2 linked regions of the Arabidopsis thaliana genome follow. The protein of the gene in region 1 interacts with the protein of each later gene in a pairwise test. Each region holds a gene or a part of one and is shown in the gene's direction. Other genes may lie near its edges.

The links.
Region 2: the proteins of BZIP24 (region 1) and AT1G13520 interact in a two-hybrid assay, tested with the Arabidopsis thaliana proteins (one large-scale study listed by BioGRID).

The regions. Positions count from the first base shown.
Region 1 is NC_003074.8:19,282,573-19,286,327, reverse strand, and holds the start of BZIP24 (basic leucine zipper 24), read left to right. Parts: upstream 1-2,135; 5' UTR 2,136-2,263; coding exon 2,264-2,322; exon of another isoform or gene 2,323-2,478; coding exon 2,479-2,674; intron 2,675-2,759; coding exon 2,760-3,066; intron 3,067-3,375; coding exon 3,376-3,500; 3' UTR 3,501-3,755. Other genes in the region: AT3G51980 (ARM repeat superfamily protein), read left to right, coding at 22-207, 305-517; ASAT1 (acyl-CoA sterol acyl transferase 1), read right to left, coding at 871-1,908. UniProt on the Arabidopsis thaliana protein: Transcription factor involved in the regulation of salt stress response. Functions as a negative transcriptional regulator of salt stress acclimation response by regulating cation homeostasis.
Region 2 is NC_003070.9:4,631,239-4,634,993, reverse strand, and holds AT1G13520 (hypothetical protein (DUF1262)), read left to right. Parts: upstream 1-1,694; 5' UTR 1,695-1,770; coding exon 1,771-2,090; intron 2,091-2,293; coding exon 2,294-3,137; 3' UTR 3,138-3,361; downstream 3,362-3,755. Other genes in the region: AT1G13530 (hypothetical protein (DUF1262)), read left to right, coding at 1-72, 176-287, 417-1,254.

The DNA.
Region 1 (3,755 bases):
CATGTTTCGTCGTATTTACAGGATGTAATGAACAATGGGAGCTTGGATATGAAATTGAGACGGAAAGCTGTATTCTTAGTCGGTGATTTGGCTGAGTCTCAACTACAGAACACAGAGAAAGATGAACTTCCTATTTTCAAAGATCGTCTTTTCCTAAAGTCTGTTGTCGATTTGATTGTGGTGCTTGATCTTGATCTCCAAGAAAAGGTAGAACTATTACAGGGGCCTATGACCGTTTTTCTTCCTCTATGAATCTTGGCACACATCTCTTTCTAACTTATGCTACTCGGAAAATATGTTTCAGGCTCTTACAGCAATCCAAACTCTTCTTCAACTTAAATCCATAGAGCCTCAGGTTCTCAAAGAGTCCTGCGGGTTGGAAGAAGCATTAGAGAGAATGAAGCTACAGCTGGAGGAATCAATGGCGGATGAATACAAGAGAGACTATGCTGCAGATGTGGAGAGCATTCGTGGTGAAGTGGAACTGATCTTCCGCCAAAAGCTTGGACTTTTATGAACACCATGATCAGTAAGAAAGCAACTCCCTGTGCGTTAATTTCTGGTGGGAAAAGCTTTAGCTGTAGGAGTTGTAGACAAATTCTAACTGCCTTAGATAGACTTAAGATGTGTAACTTAGGCGGATCTTGCTGATCCATTTTGCATGTTATTGCCTCTACTCGAGCGGGTTTCTTCCCCTCATCTTTACTTTCATATCATGTTTGCAAGGTTTTATGTATAGTATTATGAACTTCCACAATTTTCTTGATTCGTGTGCCATGTAAATGATGGGGTTGCAGAAATGTCGGTTTTACAGTGTTAGAAAAAAATAAGTTAAAATAGAGATCACTCAAGCTTTGTCACACGGCAGGGTTAAAAAAGATATGCGGTCAGTTTCCTCCTGACCTCGACTGCAAATGCGCCTATGGCTGCGTACTCATCAAGAGCCTTCTCAACTATGTTGCACCGATTAAATTCGGGCAAGAACAGCCACAATGCCGTCACCATCACAAAAGTGAGTGTCAAAACCTGACTGATTGCTTTCGGGAATCTCCACCTACCGTTAATGGTTTTCTTGATGGCGATCTCCACGGTCGTGCAAAATCCATTTATGAGGAAGAACCACATCATCTTCCAGTCTGGCCTCAACCGTCCCATGTAGAAGAAGATGAGCTCGTGCATTATCCCAGAGACAACAAACGTCCCGAAAGCTGCAAGAATCTGGGAATAGTTCGGGCCCAAAACCGAGAACAGTTGAAGTGACGGTTCGTACACGGTTGGCCGTAAGATTCCAGTGACCATCAGGTTCCATCGTCTCCCCCAGAAATCTTGAAGTGATGTCGCTAGGTACGGCTTGTTGAACTGTGGCTCGAGCTCAAGATCCGACATGGCTCGAACCGCAGCAGCTGTGGCGGCAAGGATGATCTCAAGGGCGAAATATATGTGGATCGCGTAGAGAGTCAGCACGACTTTCTCAGGCAATTTGGTACTGTATTCGTAGGCTTTGATGATGAGAACCACAAAAACTGCCTTTATGGTATAAATCAAAGGACCCTCTGTGGATCCTTCATGGGAGTGAGTTTTTGTAGGTTTTGGGCTCAGCTGAATCTTGATGGGCAAGCAAGAGACAGCTAAGAAAATAGGGAGAGATAGGGGTTTATGGTTTGAAGAGAGAGGACCGCGCCCTAATGCAAATAATAAGAGCTTGAAATTTGCTAGCCAAGCGATGAAGAAAGCCGTGATGCCGAGTAAATGTAAGGAATATATCAAGAAAGGTACTATGAAGAAAATGAGGAAGACAGGGAAAAATAGTATGAGCCTTTTGATTCCTTTTGGAACCAATTTGGCAATGAAAAAAGTGTAACACAGTGAGATGATCACTAAACCCCATGCCTTGATGAAACTCGCCATTTTTGCTTCTTGAACTCAAATCTCGTCGGGAAGCAAGATGATGATGATAAACACGTTTACAAAACGTGTCCGCCAGCGAACACTAAATAATGATAGAGACGTGCAATAAGTTAAAATCCATGAGAAAAGTCTTCTTCTTTTTCTATACGAAACAATTTGACAATTGACATTAAAGAACCAATTCTCTTTCTTATAATATATTATTCATTGGGGTCTGGGGATATGGTAAATGGCTTTGCTTATTGTTCCGTCGTAATTTCTAGTAATAAAACCATTTCAAAGTTTGGTACAGACAAAAAAAAAAACATTTTAAGGTAATCTCAAAACCAAAAAGCCTATCAATCTTTGTACTTGGATGTTTTGTTGTTGCAAGGATTGCAGAGGAAACCAACGAGTTTCTAACTTTGATTCTCTGTAAGATTTTTCTTTCTTGGGCCATGTCAAAAAATTATAAAGAGTTGACTACTGTTTTATTCATCCACTATGTTAATCAAGAACATATTCTTCAACACCATCTTTACTTTAATCAAAAACCCTAATAATATCACCATAATTCTATGTCCCAAACAGAACAGGTGTTTTCTTTGGAGATCTTGAGTTTGGACCTCAGAATCAAAGATATATAAAGATGAATGAGGAAGAAGATAAAGATCAAGATCGAGTAACGAGAGGATGTAGTCACACTCATAGCTGTAACCCTCCAGGCCCAGAGGATGCTTCTCACTCCCACACATGCTTCCACGCTCACACTCATCTCATCATCTCTGTAATAATATCTCTTCCCTTAAGATATGGTATGTTTCTGATGATATTTTAATGGATTGTTATAGATACATATTTTTATGTTGCAGCAGGATCAGCAAGAGAATGATCATTCTGACAGTAGCAACAAGAAACGGTTATGTGGTAATAGAGAGGCAGTGAGGAAGTACAGGGAGAAGAAGAAGGCTCGCACTGCATACCTTGAAGATGAAGTGATGAGATTGCAATCTCTGAATGAGCAATTCCTTAGAAAACTTCAGAGCCAAGAAATGGTGGAAACTGAATTGATCAGACTCCGGGCTCTTCTGGTAGAGATGCAGGGGAAAATTGAAGTTGAACTTTGTAGTTTCTCGTTTCAGAAACAATGCAACGGTTCTGGTTTTGTGTTCAAAGAAGGTGATTTCTCCTACTATTTGGTTTACTAGTTGAAATTGGTTGTCAACAATCTGATACGTTGATGAAAAATTTAGCATTAAGAGGAAGAACTAGTAAATAGCTAATGAAATTTGAGCTACTGAAATTTTATTGAACAATACGAAACGCTAAAGAACTAGTTTCATTTATTTGGTTATCGTCTTAGTAAAAATCACATTTTCGAATAATGAAAACGTAAACTAATAGTAAACCATTCATCACCATCATTTTTATACAAAAGTGACCTAGACCTAATCTTGACACAATTTTGGATCTCGTGTAATCACACAGATGGATGCAACTTAGCAACAAGTAATATGATGTGTGAAGCGGCAAGAGTGGAGTGCGAGGAGGGCCAAACACTTCATGATCCTATTCAATCTTTTGTTCCTCAACCACCACCATTCTCACGTTAAGCGTTTACGGGCTGTGGTATTGTGTGTATATATATACATATGGGTTTAATTAGGGGCATAGAGGTCGGATTCCAATATAGTTAACATATACACAGATTGGTAACTTATTCTACATATGTCTATTTTAAGGGTACCAAAACATCTTGATGTGGAATTGATTTTGAAATGAAGAGGAGGATGATTGTAGATTTGTAGTTGTATGTATATATGATGATAATTGTGGGCTTAGAAGATCTTTGGGGGTCCATTTATAGA
Region 2 (3,755 bases), on another chromosome or scaffold:
GCTTTGGTTGTGATCTCAATGGTTTGCCGTTTCCTCAGAACACAAGAGTCACCGTTAAATACCAAATCGGACGTTAGTTACTAGTCATTTCACTCCTAACTTTCTGTCAATCATTTTACTTTACTCTGTTTCTGTTTCTTCTCTGTTTATTATCTAAGCTTTGATTTCACCATAGATGGAGATGACAGAATTGTCTTGCTTGACTCGGTCGCGTTCATCCCCGTTCTTCACCAGCCTCCTTCTTCCAATCTTTACTACGTTATAAGGCGAAGAGGGAAACATGCAGGGTATGATTCTATTGAATCTTTCTCATGTTATGTAGATATCAAAGTTTATCGTTTTAGTTTTAATTAAGCCAAGATTAATAGTTTAGCGGCCTAAATTCACATCTTTTAAAACTTTGATTGGTATTGCAGAGAAGCATGTGTTAGTGCAAAAGAAGAGGACAAAGTTTCTTGTTGCCTTTGTTTTACTTATGTCTCTAATGCTACGCCAAGGCTTCTTGATCCTTTTGACATATACCAACAATTTGAGATACATCAAAGAGGCTCATCAACTCGCAAGTTTTTCGCTACATCTGTTGCTTCAGATGGAATACCACCTCGGTTCCTGAGGAGAAAAGGCTGGACCGTTCCTTTCTCTGCTTCCCAAGACTATGGTTTGATTGATGATGCAAAGGGTGTAGTTGATGCAAAGCTGCGCTATGAGCTTCCCGATTTCGGTAAGAGTGTAGTAGTTGGAAAATGGTATGTTCCGTTTTTGTTTGTAAAGGAAGGAGATGCTAAAGATCAGATGAAGAAATCGATGTATTATAGTATGACACTTCACCAAAGATTTGAAGAGGTTTTCTTCTGCGAAAACGTTGACAATAAAAATTGCGAGGTTATAGTTGATGTGGAGGTAGAAACAGAAGTGGTTAAGCTTGAAGGAGAAAATATTGGAAGAGAGACAAAAGGTGTGAATTCAGATGGAGTTGTCTGGTTTGGTGTCTCAGAGACTCAGAAGATAGGTATTGGGTCTGTGGTCTTGGAGAGGATGAAATGGGAAGAAGAGAGGTTTGGGTGGTCGAAGAAAGGCAATGAACTAAAGTCTAGCATTAAGAGAACTGAGAAATTTGAAGGCGGTGGACCACAATGGAAGAGTTATAGATGCTATGTACTGGTAGAGACCTTTGAACTGAAGAAAACTGATGGGAGTTTGGTATTGACGTATGAGTTTAGACATGTTGATAAGTTGAAGAGTAAGTGGGATTGACTTTATTTCAGCTTCTTTGTGTGTTATGTGTTCAATTTATGGTGTGTTCATTTTATTGAAAGGTTAATGCAAGTTCATGTGTTATGTGGTGAAGCTAACTTGCACAAAAAGGGTGTATACTCTAAAAGGAAAAAAACCTCAAAAGTTTTGTAATTATTTTGTAGAAAAGCATTAGCTAGTGCCAAAGAGTAAGACAGAGTCCCCTGTTTCTTTTGCTTCAGTTTCTTCCTGAAGCTAAGTCACAAGAAGCAGATCCTTATAGTTAGGTCAATCATAATATAAAGAAAATATAGAATTTGTTTGATTGATTCTCCATGATAGGTTTGTGAAACCAGGTCAAGGTCATAACTTTGGAATTCTAAAGTTTGAATTGAACCATAAAGTAAAAAAATTTGAAAAGTCTTCAAACGATAACTTGTAAAATTTGCTTACCGCGTTATCCTCAATACATGGTGCAATATATAAACATATCATATCTCTTCTAATCAATAACCTGATCAAGATTCTGAATTCAAGATGTATGTTACAAGGCATCTCTCCGAATACCAGAGAAACTCGTCGGACTTGACACGATCGTTGCCGGAAGGTCCAAACTCCGGCGTACTTGTGATTCAAGACGAAGAGTCAAAACCGACTTGTTGCTTTGGAAATTGCTACGATGGTGAACTCAAAGGCTTACCGTTCCCACAGAACGCAAAGCTGACTGTGACTTACAGAACCGGAACTGGTAATGACAGGCGCAGTTACCATGACCAGGTTCTGTTCATTCCGGTTCTTGATCAGCCTTATTATTCGAACCGTTATTATGTCATTAAACGACGTGGGAAGCAATCAGGGTATGGCCAAAAATCTTAATTACTTTCTTGACTTTGTTTTGTTTTTTTGAGGTTTTAATCAATTTATGTCATGCATGGTTCGAGATACTTGCTTTTGGGTTTGGTTTTCTTGGGATGGTTTCGGTTTGACCGGATTGGCCACCCCTTTTGACCTGACTTGCACAAATGGTATTCATTAAAAAAAAACTAATTTTGGATTGCAGAGGAGCTTCGGCGAGTGCAAAGGAAGAAGACAGAGTCCCCTGCTGCTTTTGCTTCAGCTATGTTCCTGAAGTTAAGCCACAAGAAGCAGATCCTTATGATATATATCAACAGTTCGAGGTCCATCAACGTAAACCATCATCAGGCTATTACACTGCCACTTCAGTTGCTCCTAATGGGATACCACCAGAGTTCCTTAAGAGAAAGTACTGGACCGTTGAGTATTCGAATTCCCAAGACTTTGGTTTGACAGATGATGCAAAAGGGATCAACACTACGCTTCGTTCCAAGCTTCCCAACGATATGAATACAAGTGTTGTGGTAGGGAAATGGTATGTTCCTTTCATATTTGTGAAAGAAAGAGATGCAAAAGATCAGATTAAGAGCTCACCTTATTACAGCATGACGCTTAAACAAAGATGGGAAGAGGTTTACTCATGCGTAAACGTTAACTACAACCAAAAAGGAGGAGAGGTTGTAGTTGATGTTGACGTAGAAACACAAGTGGTAAAGCTTGAGGGACAAGAAACTATTTCTAGAGAGACAAGTGGTGGTGGATTTGTTTGGTTTAGTGTTTTAGGGGATGAGAGACAAGACAAGAAGATAGGTCTTGGGTCTGTTGTCGTGGAGAGGATGAAATGGGAAGAGGAAAGGTTCGGATGGTTAAACAACGGTGAAAGATCTAACATTAAGAGATCAGAGAGATTTGAAGGCGGGTCATCGCATTGGAAGAGTTATCGATGTTTGGTATTGATAGAGAGCTTCGAATTGAAGAGAATGGATGGGAGTTTGGTGTTGACATATGAGTTTACGCATGTTGATAAGTTAAAGAGCAAGTGGGATTGAGTTTTTTATTCATCTTTGTTCAGTTTCTTTGTGTGTCATCTTTTGGTTCAATAATTAATTTAATGAATAAGTTTTATGCAATTTCATGTAGTAATTAAAAAAAAAAAAAAGTTCGCATTTAAATTCACGTAAATTTCAATTATGAATCATTTATTTGATCATTCTTCTTAAATGTTTTTTTTTTAATATTGTAAACTTGTAACCCTCATTCCAACAACTATGGCCCTCCATTTTTTTAATATAAATCAAGTTCTTTGAAAGTTGCTGATAACGTGTTTTGATTCTACTACCAATTTAAAAGTCTTCACATACGAGTTTAGACATGTTTATAAGTTGAAGAGAAAGTGAGATTGAGAGCTTTTCCAATTTGATTCTCATATCTCCATAATTTATTTAATTTTATGATGTCTCTTAAATTCTGCTTCAAGTTCTGTTTTTTGGGGGCTCTGTTTCAATACAAAACCTCTGTTCTGCAGATTGCTCAAATGAACAATTATGAAGTTAATGGTCATAATTTGGAACTCAAAGTAGATAAAAACTTAAGTTACGTGATAGAATTTAAAAACAATGTGATGTGAATTTAAAAACTGCCAAAAAGGACTTCCATAAAAGCTAAGT